4 linked regions of the Lepisosteus oculatus genome follow. The protein of the gene in region 3 interacts with the protein of the main gene of each other region in a biochemical or structural test. Links are inferred from orthologs where the notes say so. Each region holds a gene or a part of one and is shown on either strand. Other genes may lie near its edges.

Region 1 (7,241 bases), on a different chromosome or scaffold from region 3:
AGAATACATCCATTCATTCTGAAATGGAGGTTCAAAGGACATCAGTGAGCACCTGAACAAATAAAAGAGGAGTTACCCTCTGTGTGGCTCTGCATCTGACTTTACAACCTTTCCGACTTAGACCTTTGGCCTTTCAACCCAAAACATTGATCAGAAACAGAAAAAGTTAATATAACAATACTAAACCTACCTAAAGCCAAATCCATAAATATTTAACTTTTTTCTTCAAACAGTCAATTCTGATTCCATGTACAAAGCAAGAATAAACATTTTTAATGACAAGATGAGGTTTAGATTTTGTTCTGCAGAACCGAATGAAAGTTTTATAAACACTGCAAAAAACCTATTGGATTTCCTCCAATCCAGAGAAAAGGTTAGTGAATTTCTTAACATATAATAAGCTTTTAAATTATCCAACAAATCTAACAAAGCATTCAGATTTCTTCATTAGAAAATATATACAGGATCTGCATCCAAAGCACAAAACTTAAAATTCTGCAAGTTTGCAGGAATCCATTCAAAACAAATTCAACAAATCAAAATGCAAAAAATAAGGATTAATTATCTTATTCTGAAAGCCACAAATGTATGCATGTGATCCCCCAAAACACCTATGTAAAATGTTTTATATAAAGAACAATCTCAAATCTGATGAAAAACCTACCCTATTCCAAAAACATGACCACTTCATTGTTCATACAATTTTAAGTATACCATGGACAAAACATAACTTTTAAACCAAACTTGACCAGAGTTTTTAATTTTTTTAATTTTCTATTATCAAAGACTTCACAAAATAGTAAGAAATGTGAATAGCATGTGTTCATTTACAACACGATAAATAGGTCCTACAACAAAATGCATTAAATAATCAACACTACATTCTGAGCAGCTCACAGTAAAAGTATTTTTCATGTCAAATCTATACAAGTGAATTAAGAAATCCTGTACAATCGGATACCAATGAGCGCAATAGGACATGGTTCTGAAGCCCCTGCTTCTAACGAAAGGTATTCAGCAGAAAAATCCAACTTCAATCCAGTAGTATCCATTGCACTTACTATATCGTGTGCGAGTTCCTAGTTGCCAAGTCTCAGTCATTCTGCACGAAGTATGTGTATCCCCACAACTTTGAAAGATGCCTTGTTGGTATCGCAATAACCAAGAAGCTCCCCATTAACTAAAGAGCACCCCCTCCTGAAAGGGACTTGATATACAAGCAACTATCTAAATTCTAAATTCTGTGAAAACACAACTAGCAAGCTCACACGCTGTATTTTAACAAACTGGAAATGACCCAGTCACAAATTAATGATAATGTCTGCTGTTGTGATGTAAAGAAAACCAAACTAACGGCGCTCCCAATAAACACATCTTGAACTGTGAAGATCTCAGGGATCAAACAGCTTCCCCAGTGATGATGAAGGTCTATCAGTCCAGAAGAGCACACACAGGCTATGAAATGGTCGCAAACGGTCTGAAAAATAATTCCGTATTAGGCCCTAATCATACTGAAGATGTTTAAAAAAATAAGTCTTTTGTGGATGAAAAGTATAATCGCAGCCCTGTAAGAACTCTTTAAAGGTCCTTAGTAAACGAAAAGATGTTAAGATTTCCGTAAACAATTAAGCAAAAAAAAAGCAAAAATTAGAATTGACATTTTGAGTATATTTTCATTACAATTAAGAAAACTATTATGGTGTTTTCTCTAGTTTGTGGTTGTGCACGTGGGCTGCTGTCCGTTTCAGTTTATGACACCAAGTTAAATTTCTGATAATTAGTAACCCTGTAGATTTTCCAATGGGTTACTACAGACTTCCTAAAATTTCAACAGCGCCTACAGAGCTAACCTAAAACGGTACTTTTACAGGCAGAGACAGAACCACTGTTCGCAAAGTAGTACATGTTTAACATTACTATCTGAATTCCAATCTTATCAACTAAATTTTGTTTTTCTGCTGCAAAACATAACGTTACGTCTGATGGCCACGTGTGCCAGTGTATAATTACAGAAGGAACTTCTCTATTCTGGATCGAAACCATATGATCCACCTCTTACAGCACCAAGTTAACTATTGAATTGCAGTCCTGCTATGCGTGCGCTACCATAGTCTCCCATTTCATGAAGCTACGATAAACAGCTTGCTAAAAAGTGTTTGTCTTTAAAGGCCACGTTGAACCCGATGTTATTAGACGCCTCGTCAATGTTCCATTGGGAAGCTATTAAGTATTTCAACATTAAAGCATAAAACATGCAAAAATTAAAGACATCAAAAAGAAAAGGGCAGAAAATGCGAGATTTTATTCTGTTGAAAATGAGCATTTAGTAAACTAACTCCACCCGCACACCGAGCCACAACGATGAACACGACTCCGCAATTCAACCCGCGACCACAGCGGAGATGCGACGGACCTTCAGAGGCACTAATGTTGCATTCAGCTGATAAAATAAAACAAAATGGAAACTACGTTTCTACACCAGTGACGTGAGGCACCGCTCACCGATCACTAAAGCTCCATTTTAGGCAGCACTTTAATGTCGATATACGTACCCAACTGTGCTAGAACCTAGCTTTTCGAAAAAATAAATATTCCAATGTTTACACAAATGCGTGTTAATGTAGATAAATTCATACTGTCACAGATCAGCAGCACGGCCCTATCTCCGGTGCTAGCGCCTTGCAGTTCCGCCAGATATACACGTACCTGCCTGGTTATGGACAGGACTCCAGCAAAGACATGAGTCGCGTCTCTGGAAACGTGGGAAATCCTTTTGCAACCTGCTTTATTTCGGCTCACTTGATATCCGTGACTATATACAAGGAACGAAAAAAAAATAAAAAAGCAAAGGATACAGGCCACATATAAGCATTCGTTTTCCTACGAAAACCTATATAATAACAATTCTCTGGGAAAAATAAAACGCCTCTAGGTCAATTTGTAGCAATCGAGCTCCGCACTCCGCAGTCGAGTCTGGCTGAAGTGTTTATACTAGGAATCCCCCAGCAGTCTGCAACACAGGCTCTCTCCTCCCCCAGCGCCGACAGCGCTTAAAGGCGCAGCGACGCCACTGCTCCTCAGCCACTGAACTTCACAGCTTCTGTTGCTTCGGATTGATCGAAATTTCCCAAGAAAGGACACAAGGAGAAGCTAACAACAGATTTCTGTAGAGAAATTATCAGTTCGAAGCAAATAACTTTCCACTAGGATCGTCGAGTATTTGTTTAGTGTAGGGTACGTGGCAAAGTGTCAGTGGTTGCAATTCTTTGTGCCTTTTAATACTCCAAAAATGACGTTACCATGACATGAACCATTTAAGAAAAGTACATACGTTAAAATATCATACAGTTTCGTTTAACAATATAGATGTTTGTTTGCGGATAATAAAATAAATATGGTTTTGTCGTTGTGTTAAATCAGACGTTTGTTTTACTACTCCCCCAAATACAGGCTGACTTAAATAGAAATGAAAAAAGCCCTCACTGATCTGGAAGGTAGATGATGAAGAAAACTGGCAGCCCTTTGAACAGCACTGCTGATGGTATAACACCTCGTGTTAGAGCTGGTTTAGGCCAAGGCTCCTCCAGTCCCTTAAGTGACTCATGCTGGGAGCTTGTTAGCTGCTGGTGGTTTTTCCTAGTTCTCTGGTGAATGAGAAGCGTTGAATCCTCATGTACCCAACCCGTCCCCAGATACCTGCACTTTTCTCGCAGGGCAACACATTTCCTGCTCCCCGCTGAGACCCCCAGAGCTCCCACCCCTGCGGCGCTCTCATTTCGCCAATAGAGCAACTTTGAGTTTCTGCGTGCAGGGCCTGATCTCACGACCCTGTTCCGAAACCCGCGGTTTTACCCCCCGAAATGTATGAACAAACGTGTCGTAGCAATAGCAACTAAACGGTAAGGCACTGCGACCCCATGTCAAGAATTAGAACTCAAGGTATGACTCCTATAAAAGTAAGGTTAGTTGAAATCATGGCAAAAATGTGTTTTTATATTGAGATGGTAAATCCTTGAGCTGATCCTAATCATGTAATAAAAGCGTTAAACGCCTTTGTTGTAATCAGCCTATTATATTTATACTTTTTTTAATTTTTATCTCTGTTAACTCATCCAAACGTTCGTGACTGTCACGATCAGGGATTTTTTGTCTCTTGGTGAGCTGAAATCAGCATTTTCTGTCTAAGGAGGGGAGTGATGTTTTCAATGTATAGTGTATATACACTATACAGTTATATCGTATTGCAATATAATGTACACGTAAAAATACAAAATGCAAATAATTGTTATGTGCTTGGAGAATATGACCTTAACAGTGAGGTCGAAGGCCACCCAAACAGCATTCTGTGTTAATCCTGAGGTGCGAGGGACGTTTGTAGAGTTATTTGGTAAAAATGACACATGACAAAACATTTTATTTTTTCCAGAAAAAAATGCTCCAATGTTGATCTCATAGAATTAAAACAATAGAAAATTAATTAAATGTAAAGTATGTAGGATACAATATATTGATAACACGATTTAGATTTTATTTTAAAAGTACATATGAACCTCATTTTTAAAAGAAGAATTCAAATTAAAACAAGCTCAATTTTTATTTCATTTTCAGTTTTTGTTGATAAAATTCAAAACCAAATCCTAAATGACTTTCCTGTGTCTGTTAAATGCATATCATCAGTAGTTTAACCTATATCTGGCCATAGAAACTTGTACACTCCTGACCTTTCTTTCTTGAACTTTGACCTGAAATACCCTGTGAGGTGACACCAGATCTGCACCACGACTTCATTACCCTTCCCCCTGCCTTCCTGCTAGGGATTCACAGGGAGCTGGTTGGAAATTAAAACTTTGCCTTGTGGCAGTTCCAGGCAGACAGACTTCTGGACACTGTGAGTCTGCATCATCCAGGGGAATTATGTAAAATAAGTGAATGTGCTCGACCCAGTGAGCTTGACTGAAAACACCACGTGTTCTACAAGAGTAATTTGTAGTAGCTAATATGGAGAATTTTATAAAATGATAATAGTGTTTCATAATAATGTGTAAATGGGATCAATATAAATCCTGCATGGAGCAACTGATTGAGCATGGTTTTCAACATTTGGTGTGTAAAAAAAAAACAAGTAATTTTCCACACTGCGAGGAAATCCAACAGGGTTAATTAAGCAACTCTTTCTCAAGGATGATCATTTTTAATTTTCTTAAATATGATACATGGCAAATTCTAACAAATATGACTAATGGTAATCATATGGTAATCATAAAGTACACACATTTTTAAATAATTTGAGCACACGTTTTAAAATAAATAAAGCAGTCGACTTGTGCTACAAAAAGATTGTTAACTTGTTTTTCTCGAAGCTGTTGCTCCACAGTCCTGGGTGGATATGAGTGCCCTCTGTGTGGAGTTTGCAGGTAATTCCCAGAGCCCCTTTCTTATCTCCTGGTGTTTACATTTCAGGACTTACTGAGAAGAAATTTAGGCCACTAAATTGTGTGTGTGCATGTGTGCATGAGTTTAGTTTGTGTGCATGTGTGCTTGTGTGTGAGTTGAGTTTGTGTGCATGTGCATGTGTGAGTGAGTTGACTTTGTGCACGTGTGCATGTGTGCATGAGTTAAGTTTGTGTGCATGTGTCCTTGTGTGTGAGTTGAGTTTGTGTGCGTGTGCATGTGTGTGTGTGCATGTGTTCATGAGTTGAGTTTGTGTTCATGTGTGCATGAGTTGAGTTTGTGTTCATGTGTGCATGAGTTGTGTTTGTGTGTGTGCGTGTGTGTGTGAGTTGAATTTGTGTGTGTGTGTGTTAATTGAGTTTGTGTGTGTGCATGTGTGTGTGAGTTGAGTTTGTGCGTGTGTGCATGAGTTGAGTTTGTGTGTGTGCGTGTGAGTTGAGTTTGTGTGTGTGCGCATGTGTGTGTGAGTTGAATTTGTGTGTACGTGTGTGTGAGTTGAGTTTGTGTTTGCGTGTGTGCATGAGTTCAAGTGCATGCTCAGTGATGGACTGGTGTCACACTCCCACTTCACACCCATGCTTCTTAGAGTTGCTTTATCAGGAAGAAATGACTTTCTGATAACAGATGGGTGGGTAAAGGAAATTATTAAATATTCCCAATTCTTAAAAATCACACATAGGAAAAAAAGGAAGCAGAATAACTTTTTTTTCATAATTTGCCAAAAAAAGAAATTAAATAAAACCTGGTGAGATTTTAGTAGGCCATTAAGTTAACACCCTATTAAAACCACTTTAAGAGTTCTTGTAAAGGGCCCCTGAAGCTTTATGAGCCACAGCCTTTAAATCCCACACTGCTGTCCTAATCACTGTGTGCACTGTCCAGGTCAGGCTGGGAGCTGTGGAGAGAGAGCTGTCCATAGAGTAACTGTCAGGCTAATCTGAGACCTGAGGGGTGAGAGCAATGTCCATGGAAAAATATAGCCCTTCTCTTCAGCACTCTTTCCTGAACTATTTATTCTGAACATAGTGAACTCGGGCGTATTTGTCCCAATGAATAATTTAGTTTCCTTTACTACAATGCATTAAGAATTGAAGAGAAACTTTTCTTGATATATACACAGAGTTAGTGAATTATTCATCACTTTTTGTATAGTGTATTGTTGGAGAAACCGTAGATATTGTTTTATTGTCTTATACTGGAGCTATCGCTTTGTCCCCATTTTAAAAGTTTGCATTAATTTATATCTTACAGTGCATTTCAGAGTGAAAATCTCAGAAATATACATCCACACATTTAGCACCTGTTTATCTTCGTCCAATTTAGGGGATAGAACATCCTACATCCCTGGGAAAACACGTTCATTGGAAGTGTACCATTTCAAACAGCTGATAAGCATGTGACAACACAAGTTCTGAGTTAGAATCTCATTATTGTCATCTGTAAGAGTGCTGTGTTTGAGCTCTGCCGCATATTGTTAAACAAGACATTAATGTTTTTTTACCCTCAGATAATACAAGCATGAGAATATCAGCATCACCCACAACACAAATGGTGAGATTGATCCTTGTAGGCATATTTAGACATGTGCAGACATGAGGATACCCGACTGACTGTTAGCTGAGATGTAAACAAAAGAACAAAAATGCATTTTGATTTTCCCTCCATAGGAGTTTTTTTTACCACTAGAGAAGAGAACATAGTTGTATACTTGAACATCATGTAGCTTTTGGAATCCAATTTAATTATGCTAAGTGGCAGATTAATTCTCTTTGATTAAACTACACAGAATT
Region 2 (7,990 bases), on a different chromosome or scaffold from region 3:
CGAGGTCTCTCTCTCTAAGTGCTTAATGTGGAAGTGCTGTAAACAAACAGGTCACGTACTCTCAGGCACAGAATGGCACATTCTGTGCACTATTTTGACTTATCAACAAGCCCTTTGATTCATTCTTAAAACCCTGCTGCTTAATGGAGTTATGGAAAGCAGCGCATTGCTTGACTTGTCCTCTTCTACCAAAATAGCTTTGATGCCGTCTAAACAATAGGGACTCTACCCTTTTAAAAACTGCACAAGGCACCGGCAAGAGGCCCATCCAGCAGAAAAGGTCTCATTTTAGAATCTGTGACTCACGGGGGTGTTAAAGTTTTCATTTGGGCCAAACTATTCCAAACAGGCTACACTGCCCGGATAGAGCCAAGATTTCACTGGCCATATGAAAGGAATCTGAATCATTTGTACCGTTTTTTTTAAAAAAAAAAACCTAATCTTAAAAAAATCTTTTGGTGTTTGAAAGAGAGGCTTTGGGTTGAGGTTGTGGTTTAATCTATGGGTTAGAGTTTCAGGTACGTCAAAGAACGCTGAATGTAACTTAACATTCAATCCCACTAATGAGCGATGAGCACAACTCCAAAAGTATGTTTCAAGCTTTAATGTCTCGCCCGTGTTAAGAGTTTGACTGTTCTCTAAGAGAGCCCAAGTAAAGCGCTGTATTTCTCATCAATCATAATATGCAGGGATCTGCGATGCCTTCCCTTTCCCTAATGCTAATGCTAATAAAAGGGCACCGTGGGCACGGATGAGTTGCGTTCGACTCATTTCTGAACCGATTTAAGGTTTTGCTAAACCGACTTGTGGAAATGCGTTCAAGCCGCGGATAACACGTCTCCGCAACCCCTCGGGTGCAGAACAGCAGATGCCGCAGAACGTGTCACATCATCATATTCATATGTGTATCCCTTTCTCATGTGAATCCACACGCGTCGGTAACTCTGTTCCCACCCCGCCGCACACCGGCACTAGACAATGCTGGTGCTGGCTGCCCTGCAGCTATGAAGAAAGGTGAAGTGCACCAAATATTCCTCCCAGGCCTGATCTTTCCACATGAATATTTTAATAGCTCTGGAGATGGCCAGCATTCGGTTACTTTTTGGGGGAACTCAAGCCCTGCAAAAGTCGGGATACAATTTGGGCTTTCCAGTGCAAGCCGAGCTCCGGGCGACTTCATCCGACCATTTAGCTGCGTCATTAGGAGGCGTTGATGAGCTTTCCAGGTCTCTGCTCGCCACTGTCTGCACAGCTCTAAGCCCGATGCAAGTCGGATATCTACAGCATGTACATGCAAGCAGACGGCAAAAGCGCGGAAAGCGTGGCACCGGGAACTGGAGGGGGTCTGTCTCGCCGTGCACACCAGACACGCCGTCCTGTCGCCGCTCCGAGGCGGGGACCGTCGCCCGGCCTGTGCGGGTCTCCGTGGATCAGTGCCGAGCCAGCAGGCTTAGCGGAAAGCGACCGGACCGAGGCCGTGCATCCGCCCAGCCCGGGGCACGGATGGGGCTTGTGCACGGCCAGGGGCAGAGCCGTGTCCCAGGGCGGGCGGGCAGGGCACGGCTTCAGGGCGCCTGTCCTCCGCACGGACCCCGCCAGGGCGAAGTGGGCGAGCAAAGCCGCGAACGGTTCCAGATGCTAGCACAGACGGGCTGGGTGCGTCACCGGCCGCCAGGGGTCCGAATACCATCTCTCCCATTTCACATCCCCCCCCCCTCCCCTGCCCGGCTGGAGGACACGGCGGTCCTGCAGGTGTTGCGCCCCGACCCCTCACGAACAGACACACGGCGTCTCCAGGCCTGTCGCACCGGCTGCGTAAAGGCCACTCCGGCCGCAGGGCTGCGGCGGCGGCGTCTCCGGCCTCCCGGACCAATGCGAAACGTTAAGGAGGCTTTGGGTTTGCTGGGGGGGGGGGGGGTTCTACTTTGCTACAACGACAACAACAACAACACATAAGTATTTCACCCCCCCCGGATAAAAAAAACGAAAAGAAAAAAATCCTCCTAATCTCCGAGCGAGCAACGCCACGGAGACCTCCGGCTGCCGCAACACGAATCAAACACGCGAGACGCGCACCTATTTGAAAAGAAAAGCCGGCAAGACCGTCCGACGTGTTTGGAAGATCGTTTTGGGGGGGGGGGGGGTTCTTTCTTTCTTTCTTTCGGATGCATAGGCGTGCTTGCGGAGGGTCCTACCTCTTCTGCACGGGCTTTCTCCTCTTCCGACTCGCGTAAATGCTGCTCGTACTGTTGCTCATCCTGGTCTCTCGGCAGGACACGAAATTCCCTTTCGCTTCACGGCCCTTATCGCTGTCGCCGCTGCCGCTGCTGCTGGTGGCGTTGGTATCAAGGTTATAGATCCCACAATCCCTCCCTCCTCCCCTCCAAAAAAAAATAAAAAAATCAATGACAACCAACAACGACGACGACGGCACTTCGCCTTTCACAAAAATAAGCAGGGTGTCCTCGACAGGATCGAGGTGGCGATCAAGAGGGGCGATTTTCTGCTAAGAACCATGTCCCGTCGCGGGAAACCCTGTCAAACCTCCCTCCTGTCGTCGTCGTCCTCCTCCTCCAGCGACGGAAAAAGGAAAAGAGAAAAAGGTCACCGCAGTAAGACCGTGAACTTGGTGCTCGCCGGAGCGCCTGACGCAACCGAGACGGGCTGTAACCGCGCAACTGACGCGCCCGGGCTCCTCGCGCCCCCCAGCTCGAGCCGCTCTCTCCTCTCCACGCGCGCTCCCCTCTCCCGCACGTGACGGCTGCCGGGCGCTCTCCCGCGGCCAGGTGTCTCGAGACAGGGGCACCACCTGAGCTTTCCTCCCCTCCCCCTCTCCTCCCTTCTCCTGTTCTTGCTCCGAAGGATCGGGCCGACTCTCTGAATCCGCACGCTGCTGCTGCTTCGGGTTCCTGCGTCCCCTCCTCCCTGCCAGCAGACTGGTCTCTCCCTCTCTCCTTCCCCCCTGTGCGCGAATCAATGTCGCTTTTTGCGAGCTGGACGGACCCAGGTTACACACGCCCAAGCATTGCGTCCCGGCCCCGATGACGCTGACGCACGCCTGGACGTCGGGGGGCGGGGCATGGGCGTGGGAGGCGGGTGTCCCGGCGCGGCGGCCATCTTGGTGAGGTCGCGGCAGGGAAACGCAGCCTGCCGGTAAACTGCGCGGTTTAGATTAGCAGGCAGCGTTTACCAATTCGAGGAAAACTGCATGCTGCGATACGGTTGTAATTTTGCGGTGACAGAAAAATCACGAACTGCAAATCCCAATTGAAGCAGAAATAAAACTGTAGATACCAACAAAAGGTCATACAAGAGTGGCGTGGGCGCTGTGGTGGGTTCATTCTGATCATAATAGAATCATCTGTATTTTTTTTTTCGTAAATGTGGTTTGATCGTCTGTCTATCTGTCAGTGCTGCAATTTCCCCAAGTATTAAAAAGCGTGCATTGACGCTTAATACCCGCACGTCTACGAATTGACGTCATTTTTCTCGTACTGTACGGTATTAAAAGGAAACAATATAGGATTAGCAGGATTAAACCAGATTCAAATCTAATGTGAAGGAACTGATTGCTTAGATTATTTCTGTGGATATATTATTTTTATCGCTCCAGCAATACAGGGAGTTGTTTTGCATACCTAATTAGATCATTGAAGTGCCAGAGGAATCGCGGATTGAGAAAGTCAGGTGTTCTAATTTTATTTACTTTATTTAAATATTTTTTTTACGCTGGGGAAATATAATAACTTGGTGCATATGCCCTATAAATTCGAGGCTTTCCCCTTTAGTCTTTAGTTTCTCAATTTACCTCAGCTGGTGATGATATGTGCGCTATATTTGGATAAATGTGTGCTTTAGTTTATGTTACCTGCGTTTAAATTGGCCCCGACAGGCTGTGAAATCGGATCGTAACAGATGTATATTCAATTTACACTTAATAATGGGCCAGAACGCCCCCACATAGCTGAGAGACTGAGAGACGGTGCCCCTGTCTCTTGCTGTACGGCTCTGATAGATTGCTGCTGCGTCAATAGCATATCCAGTTTCTAAACAGATCCGCGTTATTTCATCAGCTCCAGTGTGTTTTTCTGACAAAATACCCAAGAGCTCTCAATTAAAACACGGCACAACGATATCTTTCACAGAGACACAAACCGGTCATCTGTGTGTTGCCGTCAATCTATAAAGTTCAACATATTTAACTTATTCGTGAAGTCCTGTAAGGTCGACGTGATGATGCAGTGGTTACCACTGCTGCCCCACAGTGCTGGGGCCTGGGGTGCTGCCTGTGTGGAGTCCATATGATCTAATGTCCAGGTGCTCTGGTGTCCTCCCACAGTCCAAAGGCTAATTGGCTACTAGTCCAAAGTTGAATTGGCTTCTGGGAAAAGTGGCCCTGCTGTGTGGGTGTGTGTCCCTGTGTCTGCTCTGTGATGGACCGGCGTGGGTGTGTGTCTCTGTGTCTGCTCTGTGATGGACCGGCGTGGGTGTGTGTCTCTGTGTCTGCTCTGTGATGGACCCACATGGGTGTGTGTCTCTGTGTCTGCACTGTGATGGACCGGCGTGGGTGTGTGTCTCTGTGTCTGCTCTGTGATGGACCCGCGTGGGTGTGTGTCTCTGTCTGCTCTGTGATGGACCGACCGGCGTGCTGTCCAGGGTGCACCCTGCCTTGTGCCTGTCCCTTGCTGGGATGGGCTCCCCTGTGACACTGTACTGGATAAAGACCATAGCATGAAAGCAAAAAATATTGTACATTATGAAAGAGCTGTACTGTACTCTATGTTATGTTCTTCAAAGAGAAAAATATTTAAGATTAAAAAAAATAATTTCTGTCAAGACATCTAAAATCGTAAAATGAAACAAAATGGCCACAATAACAAAACAAGTCACAGGACCTACAGTACGTGCGTGCTTTCAGATATCACTGGGTGGCTCTGGAGCTGAACCAGGAAGCTCCTGGTTTCATATCCTTTGTGTCAACCACTAAATTAAACTTAGCCCGCCAAACATATCTATTGCATTCTCAGCAAATTTAAATAAGAAACAATATAGCAGCCATATTGCCCTGCAACTCGTGGCTTCCTGTTCCCGTCTGAACGGGCTTCATCACGCTGCTCTCCTCCCCACTGAGAGCTAGTGTGGGGGGAGCGTTCTGGAGCATCATCCAGGTGGGGCTGCACACTGGGGGTGCTGGAGGGGATCCCCATGACCTGTAAAGCGCTTTGAGTGGAGTGTCCAGAAAAGCGCTATATAAATGTAAGCAATTATTATTATTATTATTATTATTATTATTATTATTATTTAAAAACTGCCACTGTTAAATGCTTTCCCAAAAAATACGCATTCTGTTCATAAAACCGTAAATGTTTGTGTTTTCTACACGTTCCACATGAACATGAAGAGAACATGCAAACTCCACACAGATGGCAGCTCAGGAATCGACCGCAGGGCCCCAGTGCTGTGAGGCAGCGATGCTACGGACTACATCGTGCTGCCCTAATTTTATATTTGAAACGAGAGACGCAAAAGAAAATGAACATGCAATAACAAGCTGATCTCTCATTTCATCTTCTTCTTTCAAACCATTTTCTTGAAATGCTGAATGAGGAGGGCTATCATTATGAAGATGCCATACAGTTCACTGGTAATGTGCAGCATTTGTTAGAACTTACATTCATTAGCTTGTACAATGCAACATCATTAAGAAACCTCCTGGTAGTTTTTTTCAATGTTTTATGAACCACATTTAAGTGTAATCCAATATCTGACCGAGACAACTGATTGCATTTTGAAATTCCTAATTGAATTCTACAATTTGGAATAATGCTGGGGGCAAAGCAGACCACTGTAAGTGAACAAAACAGTCGTTAATTTGTTTCTGTAGTGTTGCAGGAAACATTTTATCAGGAATAATTGCAAACAACTTGTCTTGTTTAAAGAAAATAACGAGCAATTTTCCCATGACTCATGCGTCCCTGTTCCTAAAGCTCATAAAGATTCATGTGAAATTGGAGCCATACACTGCCATAATGAATTTCTTTGTCTCTGGACGAGCCAGGGTTATAAAAAATTGGCTTTGAACTTTGGACATTTGAAACTTTTACAATAGCTAAATATATTTCTGTGTGTAATATGGTTATTTAGCATTGCCCGACTAGCAGCAGCTTGGTTAAATACCCATGAGTCTAACTCCAAGGCCTGAAAGCTCAGAATAAAACAGGGAATTTGTATTTTGTCTGTTTTCTGGCTGCAAAATATTGCGTCATGGTCTCATTTAAACCCACAATTATGGTGTTAAAAATGGAATGTCTCATTGACAGTCAGAACGATCCTAGACACATAAATGTAAGGAATTCAATCAAATACATTTGTATAAAACTTCGGTTTTGTTATGTCATTTCCTATGTGCATGTCTTCGACATTTACAATTTTCCCTGCAAAAGTATTCAGACCCTTGCAGTTTCTATATTTTGTTGCTTTAAATCGTGCAGAAACGACACTTTGGAATTGCGATAAATATTTGTTATAGTATATACACAATGTGCCTCACACATAAAAAAATACAAAGAAAAAAAAACACAAAGATCATTAATATAAAAGAAAAATAGAAAAGCTAAGATTGGATAAATATTCAAACCCTTTTCTGTGGTAAAATTTAATGAATACAGGTGCACAAAATTACACAAAGATCAGGAAAAGAGTGCAAAAAGATTTTGTAGTGTTCTCCCTTCTTATATACCCCTGTGAGCAAGTGCACTGTACAGCATCGTGACACCCAGACGCTGCCTGGATCCGGCAAAAATGGGGCAAAGTTTCACATCCATTGAGAGAGAGCTTTGGGGCACCCAGGTCATTTTGGACATTTTGGATCTTTCTGTTACACTGTTATGCAAGGAATCGGACCACAAGCACATCTATTTCCCTTATGGCCGTGGGGCCTGTGTACATTCCGATAATTTCTTCCTGCCTGGTGACCTCTGCCCAAAGAACTGGAGTCGGGCCACGCACTTCGGTGATGGACCAGAAATCCACAAACCAGGGTCAGAAATCAAGTTGGCATAGAGTGGAGGTGCTCTCCTGTTGACTCCCGATGAAGCAAGCAGTTGGGAAATATCATGTTTGGCTTTGTCAAACATGACGACCTTTATTTCATGAAAAATGTTAACTTGTGCTGTAAGATTGTTTAAAAAGAGTTTATCGTGTGGATGGATCCCAATTTGACATCCAGATTATAGTAATCTGATTTCTTTGTCTGTTTTCATCCATGATCTACAATTAATTGGGTTTGGTAGATTCATTTAATACCCTGGGTTTAAGTACATATTTATTCTTTAGTTTAATACTGTTCGCTTCAAAGGATGTACCAACACACCACTGGCATTTATAAGGACATTTTGTGGTGGCTCATCCCAAATTAAAACTGAAAAAAATTTAGATCATTTGGCAGTACACACTTACAAATCACTGCTGCAGTACACCAGGCTAACGCTGAGCCTTAAACATTTTCAATGAAAGCAGGGAATGACCTGACACAGCATATATTCTCATCTGGGAATCTCTCGCATGGATGTTGCCTGTGCACTGAAACCACATTTTGTAGCTTTTCTGCAAAAACAGCAGATCTTTTCTGTACAGTAGGTACAGAAGTGCCCAAACGCTCATATTGCTTGGACAAATGAAGGCAATGCTCACTTTAAAAAAAACATGTCAGTATGTGAATTCCATAATCACACCACTCTTGAAAAGAGAAGGGAGAACAGCCTCTGAGGAGTTAATGATCATGAAAAATAGGAGACTGGATATCCCACATCTTAATCGATATGGTGCTTAAGCACTGTCTAGTTAATAATACCTAGCTGATACCCTAGTGTAAACATTTCTAAATCTGTATGAGGAAGCCAGACTTGAATGTTGAAATAATAAGACACATTTCAGGGAAATCAGGGAACTGCCTACTAGCCCAGAGGTGACACAGCACTCTGAACAGTAC
Region 3 (7,971 bases):
TAAAAAAAAATCTTCAAAACAAGTTTTTTTGTGTGGTCATTTAAGTTTTTTTTAAGGTTTCTCAAGCTAATTATTTGAAAAATCATTCTAAAAGGATAAAGGATGATCATGGGGTTAAAGTAATTAAAAAGGATTATTAAAGTGTTTTTCTATATGTAATGTATATAGGTATAATAGATATAATAGATATAATACATAAAGCATTCAACTCTGACAAAAAATCAGTGGTCAACAATGTTTGCTAGTCCAAATGAATTACTATTTATATTTTCTTTTCACACATTGTAACACTAAAAAACAGTTTTATATTATAATTATAAAGTTCATAGATTACCTACTCCCTGTATAAACAAGGTGACATCTTAAAAAAGTTCTAGTTTCATGTAAAATACTTTGTTTAAAATGAAACTTATGAATTATAGCTGCAACACATTTGCAAAGATATTAACAGGAAAATGACAACACAAAATAATAGCATGTAGTACATTGAAATTTTATTGAAGAGTCATGATACAGGCCAATTCATGATACTGTTTAACATTTGTGTTCAACAGGGATGATAAACTGGAAGTCTACTGTGAAAGTCATAGGTTAGGAGCATGCATGGTCACCACTGGAAACCAGTACGAGTTGTACTTCATGAGGTTGCAAATGCTAGCCCATTCCTCTCATTGAGCATGGATAATTGTGTGCCATTTAAGTGCCACTCTAGTTTGTTTGGTAGTTAGCAAATTGATCCAAGGATCTCAAGTCATTTCTTGATAAAAACCAGGGTATCGACTTCAACCACATGGCTGGGTAGCTTGTTCCCTAAACCCACAACCCTTTGGGTAAGAAAATGCTACCTCTTTTCAATCATAAGAGTAATCTCACACAGTTTCCATTTTCCATTTGAGTCCTCTGGTTTACATTTCTCTGTTTTTATGAAGAACTCTTCTGGGATGAATTTGCCAATACATTTCAGGATTTTGAATACTGGTATCAGGTCTTCCCATAGTCCTCTCTGTTCAAGACTTTAAAGCCCAAGAATGAATTTAGTTGCTCTTTTCTCACTTCTAGTGTATTATGCGATTTTAAGATAACATCCCTTGATTAGATGCAATTAACTATCCTAAAATTCTATTTTTCCTTTTTTATTTCTTCCTCGAATTGTCTTGAGCATGTCATTTGTCAACATAAACACCTAAGTATTCTTCATATGTTATTTTTTTATTTACAGTTCATCATCATAAACAACCTCATCAGCCAGAAATGTTTGCCAGTCTTTTGATTTATCTATTTTTTAATACTACTATATTTAGTTATATACAAACTTCACTAGTTTGATAACTATAGGAGAATCTACACCAGTGATATAAATAAGGGAGAATAGCTTTCGTAGTACAGATCCTGTGGTACTCCACTGATTATATTACCCCAGTTTGAGCATTTGTCCCTTGTCTCTGTTTTCTATTAACAAATTCTCAGTTCAACCACACACATTTTCCTCAATGCCTACCACTTGTATTTTGAAAATTATCTTTTGTAAAGAAGTTAATCAAAAGCTTTTGAAACTCTAACAAAATGTTTTGTATAATCTGTGTGTTAGTGTGTATCAGTTATTGTTTTTTCTTGTTTAAAGAACTCTAACATGTAAGCTAAGCAAGACCTGCCTTTTCTAAATCCATCTTGATTATCCTTTAAGACCTTGTTCTCATAGAAGTTATCCTCTCGTTTAGTTCTAGTAATTGTTTCTATAACCTTACATTTAATAGTAGTCAGACATACTAGTCTATAATTAGTTGGTTCAGTTTTGACACTCTTTTTATTGAATGGGCACTACATTACCAATTCTCCAGTCTAACATCACTAACTTTCTCTGAAAGGACTTTTGGAAGAAGCTTATAATGGCATAGGGATAACATCTCTTGTTTCCTTGAGTACCGCTGGAGTTATTAATCTTGAGTGGTTAGAGCATTTTTGATATTAACTCTTCTTAATGAAGAACTTTGTCTTTCTGCTGCCCGAGGAATGTTGACTTCTTCCTCGTTTAGTACATAATTTCCTTTTGATTGCCTAGAAGTTCCATTATTTTCTCAGATACATTTTACTTAATCCTTTGGTTTTTGTGCTGGTGTAGTACTGAAAGAACCTTTTACTGAAAATGTTTCTTTCCATCTCTCTCATCAGCTCTTATATCCTTTTATATCTGGGCTTTCAATTCATTTTATTCCTTTTTTAAAGAGATTATCTTGTTTTTTAATCATTTGTGTCTTGGTTTATGATGAAATATACTCTTACAGTATATTTATTCTGTGCTTCAGGTGGAATCTGTTCAAACTGTTACTATCCATTCCATACCCATCCTGTTCTTACAGTACATACTAAGATGTGTCTCATTCTTTCCTGAAATTGTAAACTCTGTATTTCAGAGTAAATGTCAAATGTTAATTTCCTTTCATTTCCTAATGCCATTAGGTATGGTTTCCTCACCTCTGTTCACCTCATTCTGTTTGATAACACAAGATCAATATGAATGTTTTCTCTCGTCGGTGCTCCTACAAACTGAGTAATCAAGCAGTCATTAACTAAGTCTATTATTTCAGTTTCTCATATATAGATTTTTCCAATTTACATGGGAAAAGTTGAAGTCTCCCATTAAAATGTTCTTGATTTACAAATAAATTCTTAATTTCATTACACAATGTTGAATTATATTTACCATCTGGATTTTTTATATATATATTTATATATATTAATTTTATATATATATACCATCTGGTCAATAGCATAGTCTTAACACTACCCTGTTAGAATGTTTTTATGTGCCTGACACATAGATTTAGAGACCCTAGATTCCTCTTGGTTTAGTTCCTGAACTTGAATCCACTGTTTGAACAAATTCTTGCCATTTCCAAACAGCACACATAGGCAACTACCAGGGAATCTAAATACCCAAACACTCCTCTGGGTCTGTTTAATCTTCCACCCGTTACAATTTGTTTAACATTTCTTATGGTAAAACTTTTCCATTTACAGCAAACTAAAAAAAAAGTAAGAAATAAAAAAACACATACGGAAACTACACTTTTTACAAAAGGTAAAATGAGGTCATACAAATCGCATGTACAACACGCCTCTCATGTTTTTCCTGCTGTATGTAATCACTAAGTTCACTTTTATCTCCATCATTTTTGGCAAGCCACATATCTGCAGTTCCAATTACATCATAATTACCTGTTCATTTGGTCGCATCTGTCTCATGTATTTTTTCCAACACTGCTTACATTGACTGTATGTTCAAATATTTAATTGACTTATCCTTTGTTTTGTTTTTCCCTTTTGGTTCTGTAACCTCTCTGATATCTTCCTTGTGGATTTTATTGGCTTCTTACCCATTCTAGCCTCTTTAAAATGTTTATGACTTTCTTTTTTTGGTATACGTGCAAGAAATAATTAAAATATGTTCTCTTAAAAAGCAAGCCACATTAGTTGATTTCTGTGTTTCTGTGTTTATCTTTCTTGCTTTTTCTTGACAGTCAAGGTTAAATCATCTCATCTCCCTACCCATCTCTCACTAATGAGGTGATTAATTGCTTAATTAGGTGTTTATGTAACAGTCAAAGTCGTTCAAAAATATAGCAGTTGGTTATGACTGATAAATTAGTTAAAAATACCAAAAATACTTAAGGGTTGTGGGAGTATGGAACAAGCTACCGAGCTATGTTGCTGATGTCCATCCCCAGACTTCTTTCAAGAAATATCTGGATGAGATCCTTGCATTAATTAATTACTAACTACCAAATGAGTCAAATTGCACCCATTCATTTGTAACTTCTCACTTGCTCTAAATCAATATCTAACATTTTTAAATTGTATTTACAAATATGTGCAATTGAGTGATGTTATTTTTGATACTCAGTATATTTCATAGAATTACCACATTTTTAAATGTATTTTCTAAAACCGAATCTCAACAAGGATGAAACAATTAACAACAAATGCAAAAAGAGAGATAAAAAGTGCAGAAGAGCTTGCACACAAGAAAGTCTTACCTGCCACATTCAAGACCACAGTAGTGATGTCATGGTTTACTAAAATTAGAGAACCAAAATTAAAGTTACCTGGGAGTGTCCTGGTAATATTTAAAAGTATTAAGTGGGAATTCCTTTTAACAGCAAACTGAAAAAAGATAATTTAGTATTTGCTCAAGAGAGCACCCCTTGGTGCTGATAAAAAATACCTCATTAGTTGTGCTGAACCAAATCCTCATTCACCTGTTAACGAAGGTACCTTCCTCTGAGACTCATGAACCTGAATAACACATGGATTTCAGAGTATATTCTGTACTTTACAACAATTTTTATGTTTTGTTGCTTTACTGTTATTCCTGTGGCGACCATTGATGTCTTACAATTGCAAAGTGAATTTCAGATTTGTAGATTAATATTCTGCCCAGTAAATTGTATTTGTAATCTTTTAAAAATATTTGTAAAATCAGAAGCAGTAACCACTTGGACCACCACAGATGTGAAAAGCTGTTACCATGGCGTCATTAGTGCGTGGCAAACTCACTCCTCAGCACCAGGTTAAGCTGAGGAGTGAGTTTTGACTTCCAGGAGTTCGTGTTGAACGTAAACAGTGATTCCTAGACTCACTTGTGGCCTCCAGAAGGAACATAATCACCTTGAATCCCAGGTTGAATCCAGGCCATTTATGCTCCACATATTGTCCTTGTTGTATGATTTAGTAAAATATTCATGTAATACTTACCTCACTAAATTACGTGTGCCTGAAGTGATCATTTAAACCAATGCCAGTGTAATTCAGCCTTGACTGGCCTTATGCCAGTGTCATTGATATGAATCTATGCTGACATGGAGTAAAAAGTTACAATTGATTTATTTTCTTCTTCTTTTTGTGAAATATCTCACTCCAGGTTTCCTCGCTCACTCCACCTACCAGTTAAAAACTATAAAAAGGTTTGTGAATGTGTCGGAGGGGTTGGGGTGTAGGGGGAGGAAAATCTTTTCATAGCAACGAGAGCGCTCACACTCACACAGACACACGCTCACTCTCTCTCTCAGACGCACACATATAAGAAAACAAAAATGATCTCTGGCAGGCTCCGGCTGTGCACTCTGCTTTCGTCTTGTAAAGAGTGAGGAGGATCACGTTCTTCTGAAAGTGCTAGGTGGGAGCTGGGAGGAAAAGAAAAAAAGAAAACAAACCATGCTAATTATCTGTTTGCTCTGATCATGGCTAGGCCGCCTTACACCAAGCCCCCCGGATTAGTTCTGCTGCACAAGATCGAAACGAGAGAGCTGGAAGCATTCAGCAGCTCACCTGTCAAGCTGGCCCCAGAGAGAGCCTTGGGCGAGATGTACCTGGAGGACAACAGGAACAGCACAGCTGTCAACTACCTGGATGGCACCTATGAGTTCACCACGGCCCCCGCTGCCACCCCCATCTACAACCCCACCACCGTGAGCTACCACTCGGCACCTGTGGACACTCATGGCTCTGCCTCCGATGCCAATCTGCATTCCCTGGGCAGCGTGCCCACGAGCCCCCTGGTGTTTGTGCCTTCCAACCCTCGGCTTTCCCCTTTTGTCCATCACCCCCACCACCACAGCCAGCAATTGCCCTACTACCTGGAGAGTGACCAGGGCAGCTACAGGCTGAGGGAAGCTGCCACCACCCCTCTTTTCAGGTAAGCTGCCTTCGGTTTGTTTTTCAGCTTCCAGATCGCAGCTGCCCCTGTTCTGTATTCTCAAACTGCTCATGCTTTCAAACAACCAGATCCACCCTCAATGGGCGCTCCAGACAACTTTAAAGAAAAGTACGATTAGTTCAGTCGAGTCGTGTTTCACGTTCGAGCCGACTCCTGTAATTTGTTCTCTGGCTGTAAGGGTCAATAAAATCAGAAAGGGACTCAAGGGTGTCTGGGAACTAGTGTCAGTATTTGTCATGTAGGAACATGACGGGTTACAACAGGAGTAATACTCCAGTTCTTCACTGAGATTCGAGAGGATTTTGTTAAGAGCGCCAAAAAATTACAGAAGTAGTTTTGAAACAGGCAAGAGAACTAAGAGATAAAAAACAAACATCTAGTTAAAAGCCAAGAATTCAAATTATCAGTGTCTGCAGCAGTCTCAGTTCATAAAGGGAAGAAAAACATGACCATGAGTTCGTTTTGTATTTGTTGTTGCCTTCTAATATAAGTTTTTGAAGATTTATTATTTTAGCCGAATAGTCCCAGATGAGATTTGCTGTGGTCACTGTGAAGGAGTTTCCCACTCATATAATGAAACAGATTTTGAAATACTGGCTCCTTTGACAAATTGTTTTTTTAAGCTTCACACTGATGTCTGTCTCTTTCTTGTGGATTGTTTCATATAATCCAGGGAATTTGTATGATTACATCATTCTAAAGTTCAAGGATTAGTGCAGTGCAATTATACAGCCAGGAAGATAAATCAAGAATAAGTTTTGCTCATGTGCTCTAATTTTCCCTGGATATTATCAGAACACTGAACCTCACTCACAATCACGTTTAGATGCAGTAGTGTTTTAGTGTACTCTTTTTATGGATACCTTTATTTTATTTGGTATTAGTGACCTAAAAAGGAAAATATTAAAATAGTTCACTAATTTCTCACTAAGACTCAATAATTATTTGTGGTATTAAATCACTCTGGTAACAGGACTGTAAGGGAACCCAAGGCATGTTCTTTATCTGAGTTTTTTGCTTTAAAATAAATAGCACTTTCACATTAAGCATTACTGTAAAGGTTTCATTTTTTCCTAATAAATATGGCGAAAAACAATGTAATCTATAAGATTGCTAATTGCATGAACTTCTAACTACATAAAAGCTATAGTTTGCAAAAAACAACACAGCTCATTTTACTTTCAGCAATGCCACTTAAGGTAGCATGTGGTGTGCATCACTTGAATACTTCACAGCTGCTTCAATAGTTTATATAATCAGACATTCAACAAAAGATGTTGGATGCTTTAGCATTATTAGACGTGTACTGAATTTCAGTTCCAATTTGTACAGTATTATGAAACAAGAAAGTGGTCTAGAATCTGAAGAGATCTGCCTTTCGGTTAGGGTTAGGGTTAGGGTCTCTTCAGATTCTAAGGCCTAGTTTTATTAATAATAATAATAATTGCTTACACTTATATAGCGCTTTTCTGGACACTCCACTCAAAGAGCTTTACAGGTAATGGGGACTCCCCTCCACCACCACTGTGCATTTAACAAAAGATGTTGGATCATCCACCTGGATGATGCGACGGCAGCCCTAGTGCGCCAGAACACTCACCCCACATCAGCTATCAGTGGGGAGGAGAACAGAGTAATGAAGCCAATTCAGAGATGGGGATTATTAGGAGGCCATGATTGGTAAGGGCCAATGGGAATTTGGCCAGGACGCTGGGTTTACACCCCTACTCTTTTCGAGAAATGCCCTGGGATTTTTTTAATGACCACAGAGAATCAGGACCTTGGTTTTGTATCTCATCCGAAGGACGGCGGCTGTTTACAGTATAGTATCCCCGTCACTATACTGGGGCATTAGGACCCACATGGACCGCAGGGCGAGCGCCCCCTGCTGGCCCCACTAACACCTCTTCCCAGGAGGTCTCCCATCCAGGTACTGACCAGGCTCACACCTGCTTAGCTTCAGTGGGTTGCCAGTTGTGAGTTGCAGAGTGATATGGCTGCTGGCTTGCAGAGTGATATGTCCTTTTTTTCCCAGAAGGCAAACTGTGGACAAATAGCCACTCTAATTAATTTAACATGGAAAGAAATATTCGCACACAGTTTGCCTGAAAGGAAAAAAAGGACCTGCTTGCCTGGTTTAAAGGCACAGTGGCCTTGGTCACAACACAATTGAACAAAATTGTTCAATTCTTCCATACTTGTGGTACAGATATCAGCCTTTTATATTAAAACGCTGCCCGACCTATAAGATTTAGCTT
Region 4 (6,925 bases), on a different chromosome or scaffold from region 3:
CAAGGTAGATATGGAAATGCTTATGAATGAGGTTTCAAAATGTAGACGGTTCAGAAAATTGTATCCTCACAGCTCCTGTATCCAGACAGAATGAGTACCTTTACCACAGAATTTCTGTCCTGCTCTTACAGAACTTCGTTTTTCGAATTTTTACACAATTCGGATGTCTTGTGTTTTTTGCTGCAATACTTGGCGTGTATACATTTCTAATCCCATTGAAAGAAAAAACGTTTGAGTGATGAGTGCCCTCTTGTGGAAGCTTCAATGATCAACATTTCAGCATTATTAGGAGGCCATGACTGGTGAAGGCCTGGGGGACATTTGGCCAGGACACCGGGGTTACACCCCTACTCTTTTCGAGTAAACACCCCTGGATTTTTTAATGACCACAAAGTCAGGACCTCAGTTTTATGTATCGTCTGAAGGACAGTGCCTTTTTACACTCTAGTGCCTCTGTCACTGTACTGGGGCATTAGGACCCACACAGACTGCAGGGTGAGCGCCCCCTGCTGGCCCCACTAACACCTCTTCCAGCACCAGGTTGAGCTTTCCCAGGAGGTCTCCCGTCCAGGTAGTGGCCAGGCTCACACTGCTGGACTGCAGTGGGCTGCCATCTGGGAGCTGCGGGGTGACCGAGCAGCTGGGCTGAATGGACCCCACCTTCAGACCGGTCTCTGAGAGCGAGAGGCCACTTATAAAGAGTCTGGAGCGCAGACTGTGGCCTTGTGAGAGAACCTGCGGGTGTGAGAGAGCTGTGTCAGCAGCCAGAGCCAAACAGGGACTACACGTTCAGTTTGTGCAGAAATAAATGTTTATTTTCATGTGCTTCCTGTGGCAGCCTGTGGGGGGCGCTCTCCCTGCGCTCACAGCTTGCCCTCCCTTTCCAGGCTCGGGGCCTCGGAGCTGGGCCCGGCACTTCCGGCGGGGGCAGATTCCGCCCCCTCGGAGACGCTGGCGTCCTCGGAGTCCGGCTCCGGCTCGCCGGTCCGGACCGCCGCCCCCTGCTCCTTTTCCTCGTCTTTCTCCCAGCCCAGCGGCAGCGAGGGGACGCCGGGGGGCTGCCAGTCGAAGGCGAAGGATCCAAACATGGTGACCGGGCTGCTGGAGCTGGAGCGGCACAGGAACGGCTGGGATTCCTGGGAAACAGGGGGAAGGCCAGGAGAGACAGGTCAGGATTGGGAATACAGAACCGACCGACTGTTCTGGACTGGGTGTCTCGGCTCGGCCGTGCGCAGGAGGAGCTGGGAGGTTATGCACTGTTAGACCCAGGAGAGGTTCCGAAGGGGCTTTACTTTGTCAGAGGGTCCTGGCGCTGGGGCGGGGTCACCAACACGGGCCGGCGCCGTCTCCGGTCTGGTCCGTCTCCCCTTGGCCTGGGTGCCCACGGATCGTGGGGCCCCCGGGGGTCTCTCGTCCGCAGGCAGCGGCTCCGGGGGAGACTCTGGGGGAGACTCCGGGGGAGACTCGGGGGGCTGTGAGTTCAGAGACAGGACAGAGGAGTTGAGGAGCGTGGGGTCGGACAGGGATCGCATCCAGGCCCGAACCCTCCATTTTCAGGAGTCAGGAGTGGGATCTGGGGACTCGGCTGAGGCGGCAGGACCGACTCACCACTGTCGGGCCCCCGACGGGCTCTGGGCCGGCGTCCTCGGTCCGGTCCCCGTATTCGCCGGGCCGGACCCCCATCACTTCCTCTTCCTCGGCCCCGTCACCCCCATCTTCCTCGGGGGACCCCGGGACGGGGAGGGCGCTGGGGGGTGCCTCTGCGTCGGGGTCTGGAATTCAGCACGAGAGCAGAATGTCACTGACACGGAGGACAGAGAGAGGCTCCTGGGTAAACAAACACTGTAGCCAGGAGCCTTGGAGGAGCACAGGAGGGGGGCTGAGAGTCTTCAGGCTAATAGGAGAACCTCCTTACCGGTCGAAGTGGGGGTGGCAGGCGTGGGGGGCGCTGTGGCCGAGGTGTCGTCCTTGCGGGTGCGGGATTTGGGCTTCTCTACGGGAGAGACACCTCCGCAACAGACAAACACCGTCATCAGGTTCAGGAGGAACATAGGGAAATCTCCCTCCTCCTTCTCCTTGGCTCTTCTCCTGAGGAATTTCCTCTTCCTCCCCCTGGCGAATCTGGGCTCACTCGGGGGGGGGGGGTCTGGTGGGGTGGCAGCCAGTGGCTTGCCTGGGTCACTGTGTCGTTGACCCATAGGCAGAAGACAACACACAAATCGTATTCACGAATCAGAGTGCGATCAACTGCAACCGGTTTCTACAGGAGGCCCCTTTTATACCCCGGCGACTGGCGAGGTGGCGGGGTCTATGTGACATCCTGTATAAGAAAATTGTGATGTCCTCCCGTTGCTAGGCGGTAAAGGGATGCACTCCAGCACGTCACTAAGGGATTGTGATGTCATCGCGGCTTCCGCGCACTGCCGCTAGGCATCCTGGGATAGGGGAACACTAATTAGCTTAGCCGTTTTATAAGGCAAAAAAACGCGCAACTGATTAAAAAAGTGGTTCCTGATTCTCTGTGTATTCAATCAAAATATGAAATTTGTTTAGCTTTATTAAGTCCCATTCACCAAGCGCAGTCGTTTTTAAGCATTTAATGTGCAAATCAATGAACTGCGTCCGGTTTTCCAGCGCAGCTCTTAGGCATTAAGAGTTAGTTGAATATAGCGTTACGTTTGTCAACTCATCTGTTTACCGATCTGCGTAACATCGGGGTCGTTTTCAGAGCACCGGGGCGCTGAGAAGCGCTGCTGTGGCTGAGAGGCCAGTGAGGCTCAGTGCGGGTCACTGCGGGTCTCTCTCAAGACGCTGTAAACACAACTGTATGGGCTGACATCCAGAGTGATGTGTTTTCGCCGCTTAAACCAAAAACAAAAGTCTCTCGTTTCGCTCAATATATACAGTATATGAGAACTGGAAAAGGCATGCCCTGAAATACCCCGTCTTGTATTATTTAACGTCCAGTGAAACCTGAGGGGAAGAAGAGCTCTTTGTTTTGCTCCAGCAGGTCTCAGTTCTTAAAGCCGAAAACGTGAGAAATAAACTGGGGACGGCGCCCCAGAAACACTGGGAGGGTCGTTTGGGAAGCTACGACCAGCGGCACCAATCTTTAACATTGCTTACAGCCCAGAGACCCCGGGTCTTCTAGGTAACAGATGCCGACGTTTGTAAAAATAAAATGTGGGAGAGTCAGTTCCGCCGTTTGCTGGAAGCTTCCAAAATCGTCGAGAGTTTGCGGCGAGAAACACAGTGTTTCACCTTCGCGCTCACCGCCAGACTCCCAGCAGCAGGTCTTGTCCTGAAAACGGGGCAAAAGGCTACAAAATCGGTTCCGTCCGAATTCAAACTGCAGGAGCATCATCTGTCGTCCCAGCGTTACCGTGGGTTCAGGAGTCCGCACGAACCAGGGGAAACTACGGAGAAGCCGTGGGCGGGAGGCAGCTCTTTACACAAAGCGTGGTGGGAGTGTGGAACAAGCTGCGATCTTTGGATCAATAAGCAACAAACTATCAAATTAATCTGGTCTGGTTTTAAGTGTTCAAACCTCTATTAGGCCTTATTTTCCTTATTTTTGGGGGGTGGTTTCAGTGGACAAACACCATCCAGGTGGGGCTGCACATTGGTGGTGGTGGAGGGGATCCCCGTTACCTGTAAAGCGCTTTGAGTGGAGTGTCCAGAAAAGCGCTATAAAAGTGTAAGCAATTATTATTATTATTATTATTATTATTCATACAATTTTTGAAAAGTTATATATATTATAGTTAAGCTTATATTCGCTACAGTTAACTAGTCTATGGAAGTAACACGGGTCATCTGAATGGGATTACGTTTCGGTTTGTGCGGATTACTGAAAATCACTTCGTTCGCGAGTACGATAGAAGAAAAATAACGTCATCACGTGTCTTCTGTGGTGAACTACATTTCCCAGAGGGCCATTCTTAGGGAGCCGGAAGTGCAGTGAGTTGACCTTGCAGCGAGGCAGAGCGCAACACAGAAGCAGGCAGCATGGCGAATAAGGAGCCCAGTGTGAGTATGGAAATTACACACGTATTTGGAAATATTGCCGATTAAAACACATTGCCGTGGAGTTAGTGCTTTCCCGTGAGATAGTTACATTCTTGTTTTCGTAAAGACCGTGGCGCCAAGCTCGGTTTGATGTCATTCTGTCTGAGGCTTCATCTTTTTTTTTTTGATTAACGTGAATATGGTTTTGTTTTCCCAGAATAAACCTACCAAATAATTCAAGACGTGTGTTCCCCGAGCTTTAAGTCTATGCGTGGAATTGCAGAATAAAGTAATACTGCTGTAAATGCTGTAGAGGGATTGCTTTTTGTGCCTGGACTAACGAGGCCGTGTTAGACTTCATATTGTTGGTCACAAGAGACAGCGGATCTTGGCCGCGTACGATATGCAGGGGACTGGATTGTTTTATTTTTCAAAGCTAGTGTGTAGCATTCTGATTAACAGATATGTGATCTGAAGAGCTCGGCGCTGTAGCAACCGGTGCAATACGGCGCGTCTCGCTGGAGTCTGTGGGGGTCGGTGACATTGCATCACGCCGTCTGTAATTAGACCCTTCAGACTTCCTCTGCCTTTGACTTATCCGTGTGTCCTCAAGGAACCTGGTGTAAACGTGTTGGTTATTAACGTACCGCCGCGGCCCCAAGACAAGGAATGTTCTGGATGTAGTAAATATGGAGTCCAGCCTTGTCCGAAGAAGTCAGCGCGGCGATGCCCGGTGCCGCCACTAGGGGGAGCGCTCGCCCACAGCGGCACCTCAGCCGCTGAGTTTCATAACCTGAGCGAATGTTATTCTTGCGATGAAACTTGCGCGGTATCTGGAAGCACCGGATTTCCCACCTGTGTTTTATTTTCAAACCCAGAACGAGCCGGTTCGGAACAGACGCGCACGGCTCTGTGTCACCAGGCTGGCTGCTCCCGGGCGAGACCCGGAGGAACCGTCTTGCAATAAATATTTGTCGTGGCCGCAAATATGGGCACCCCGTGCACATTTTTTTCAAATAATGCTACACTTCTTCCAGACAAATGCTGAAATTAAAAATGTATTTCTTATACATTGTATTGCTTTGGTTTGCAGTGAAACAAACAAAAAAAGCTGAATTATGTACTAAGTACTAAGCTTATTCCACAAGAAATCCTAAAATGGCCCGGACAGTATTATTGGCACCTTCTACAAGCGTTTAGAAATAATTCTATTTCAAGCCGGTGATTCTCCTTTACTTTGGAATTGAACTCAGCTGTGGTGATTTGCAGGTGCCTGCAATATAAAAATCACTAGTTCAGCCAGTCAGAATAGAGAAAAGGACTCTTTCTCCTGTTTTGTGTCACTGTGTGGACCACAATGAGCATGGAGAAAAGAAAGACATTCTTTTGTAGCGTGGACAATCTCAAGGCTACAAGTCCGTCTCCAGAGACCTTGATGTTCCTGTTTCCACTGTATGTAATGTTATCAAGAAGTTTAAGAGAAAACTTGATCGAAGATTGTAGCGAAGGGTTGTTCGAATGGTGGAGAAAGCAGCTCGATCAGCTGCCACACAGATTCAAGCTGACCTTCAGAGCCGAGGTGCGACAGTCTCAACACGCACCCCCCCTCGCCAGCTCAGTGACCCAGGAGGACCCCGCTGCTGAGAGAGAGACATCAGGAAGCCTGACTGCAATTTGCCAAAATCCTCCTGAGAGAATGTCCTGTGGACAGATGAGACCGAACTAGAGCTTTTTGGTAAAGCACACCGCCTCTATGTTTACAGAAAACGAAATGAAGCCTTCAAGGAAAAGAACACCTTCCCTACAGTGAAACATGGAGGAGGTTCAGGGATGTTGTGTGGTCGCCTTGCTGCCACTGGCGCTGGATGCCTTGAGCGTGTGCAAGGCGTCTTGAGATCAGGAGAACACCGGGGCATTCCGGAGCTCAATGTCATACCCAGAGTCAGAAAGCTGGGTCTCCGTCGAAGGTCATAGGTCTTCCAGCTCAACGATGACACCGGACACTTCAAAAAGCACTCGGGAAAGGGGCAGGACAAAACACTGGACTGTTCTGGAGGGACCAGCAATGAGTCCAGATCTAAACCCGTTGGAAACCTGTGGAGAGATCTGACAACAGCAGCTGGGAGAGGGCACCCTTCACACCTGGCAGGCCTGGAGCAGGTGGCACGAGAAGGGTGGGCCAGACTGCCAGTACAGAGGTGCAGGAAGCTCATCGGTGGCCATAGGAGGCGCTTGATTGCAGATATTGTGACACAAGGCTGTGCTACCAAATATTGAGTCTGGGCCGTCAATAATTTTGTCAATGCAATGCCGTTTCTTTTTATTTTCTGATTTAAAAGGATAGATTAAGTCCTGAATCAAAAACAACGGTTCTGTAATAGTAACAGTGAAATAAAGAACTGTGGAGACCACATAAGTTGGTCAGTTGCAACTTATTTTTAGAGAAAACTGTGAGTTATTTGCCAAAAGTGCAAGGGTGCCGATGTTTTTGGCCACGACTGTACCTTGTCTCTAGAAATGAAGTGCAGCATCTTAGCGGTGGTAGTTTTTAACGCAGGACTAAATCCAATCAAAGGCTGGTGGTCTGTTTTCAGAAAGGTGCGGCGTGGTGTGTAAAAGCCGAAAGGGCTCCGTCTTCCCACACGGTCCTGACAAGAGATCCTCAGGGATGGAGTTGACCCCCCCCGGTGTCAGACTTGACTCCCCCCCCTTGCCTGTGGGGGCAGTAGGACGCCAGACAGGCGTGCTGGCTAAGCCTGTGCTCTCTTTGCCCCGCAGAGGTTTGTGCAGCAGCTCAGGGACATGGCCAGCCGCATGTCCTCGGGCTCCAGGGGAGCCGGCATGGGCCTCAAGCTGCTGCTGGGAGCCGGGGCTCTGGCCTACGGGGTCAAAGAGGCCACATACACAGGTGCGTATG

Evidence for each region.
Region 1: the proteins of esr1 (region 3) and nrip1a form a complex in vitro, tested with the Homo sapiens proteins (4 studies listed by BioGRID, with this or other methods). The link is inferred for Lepisosteus oculatus from reciprocal best matches to the Homo sapiens genes ESR1 and NRIP1.
Region 2: the proteins of esr1 (region 3) and ahr1a form a complex in vitro, tested with the Homo sapiens proteins (4 studies listed by BioGRID, with this or other methods). The link is inferred for Lepisosteus oculatus from reciprocal best matches to the Homo sapiens genes ESR1 and AHR.
Region 4: the proteins of esr1 (region 3) and phb2b form a complex in vitro, tested with the Homo sapiens proteins (3 studies listed by BioGRID). The link is inferred for Lepisosteus oculatus from reciprocal best matches to the Homo sapiens genes ESR1 and PHB2.

What each region holds. Positions count from the first base shown.
Region 1 is NC_090700.1:317,808-325,048, forward strand, and holds the start of nrip1a (nuclear receptor-interacting protein 1), read right to left. Parts: upstream 3,022-7,241; 5' UTR 2,707-3,021; intron 2,698-2,706; exon of another isoform or gene 2,553-2,697; intron 1-2,552. UniProt on the Homo sapiens protein: Modulates transcriptional activation by steroid receptors such as NR3C1, NR3C2 and ESR1. Also modulates transcriptional repression by nuclear hormone receptors.
Region 2 is NC_090705.1:2,282,549-2,290,538, forward strand, and holds the start of ahr1a (aryl hydrocarbon receptor 1a), read right to left. Parts: upstream 3,007-7,990; 5' UTR 2,258-3,006; coding exon 2,196-2,257; intron 1-2,195. UniProt on the Homo sapiens protein: Ligand-activated transcription factor that enables cells to adapt to changing conditions by sensing compounds from the environment, diet, microbiome and cellular metabolism, and which plays important roles in development, immunity and cancer.
Region 3 is NC_090697.1:48,519,743-48,527,713, forward strand, and holds the start of esr1 (estrogen receptor), read left to right. Parts: upstream 1-4,964; 5' UTR 4,965-5,237; coding exon 5,238-5,692; intron 5,693-7,971.
Region 4 is NC_090708.1:1,899,041-1,905,965, forward strand, and holds the start of phb2b (prohibitin-2b), read left to right. Parts: upstream 1-3,921; 5' UTR 3,922-4,008; coding exon 4,009-4,029; intron 4,030-6,786; coding exon 6,787-6,916; intron 6,917-6,925. Other genes in the region: uncharacterized protein, read right to left, coding at 864-1,136, 1,293-1,472, 1,609-1,772, 1,916-2,198.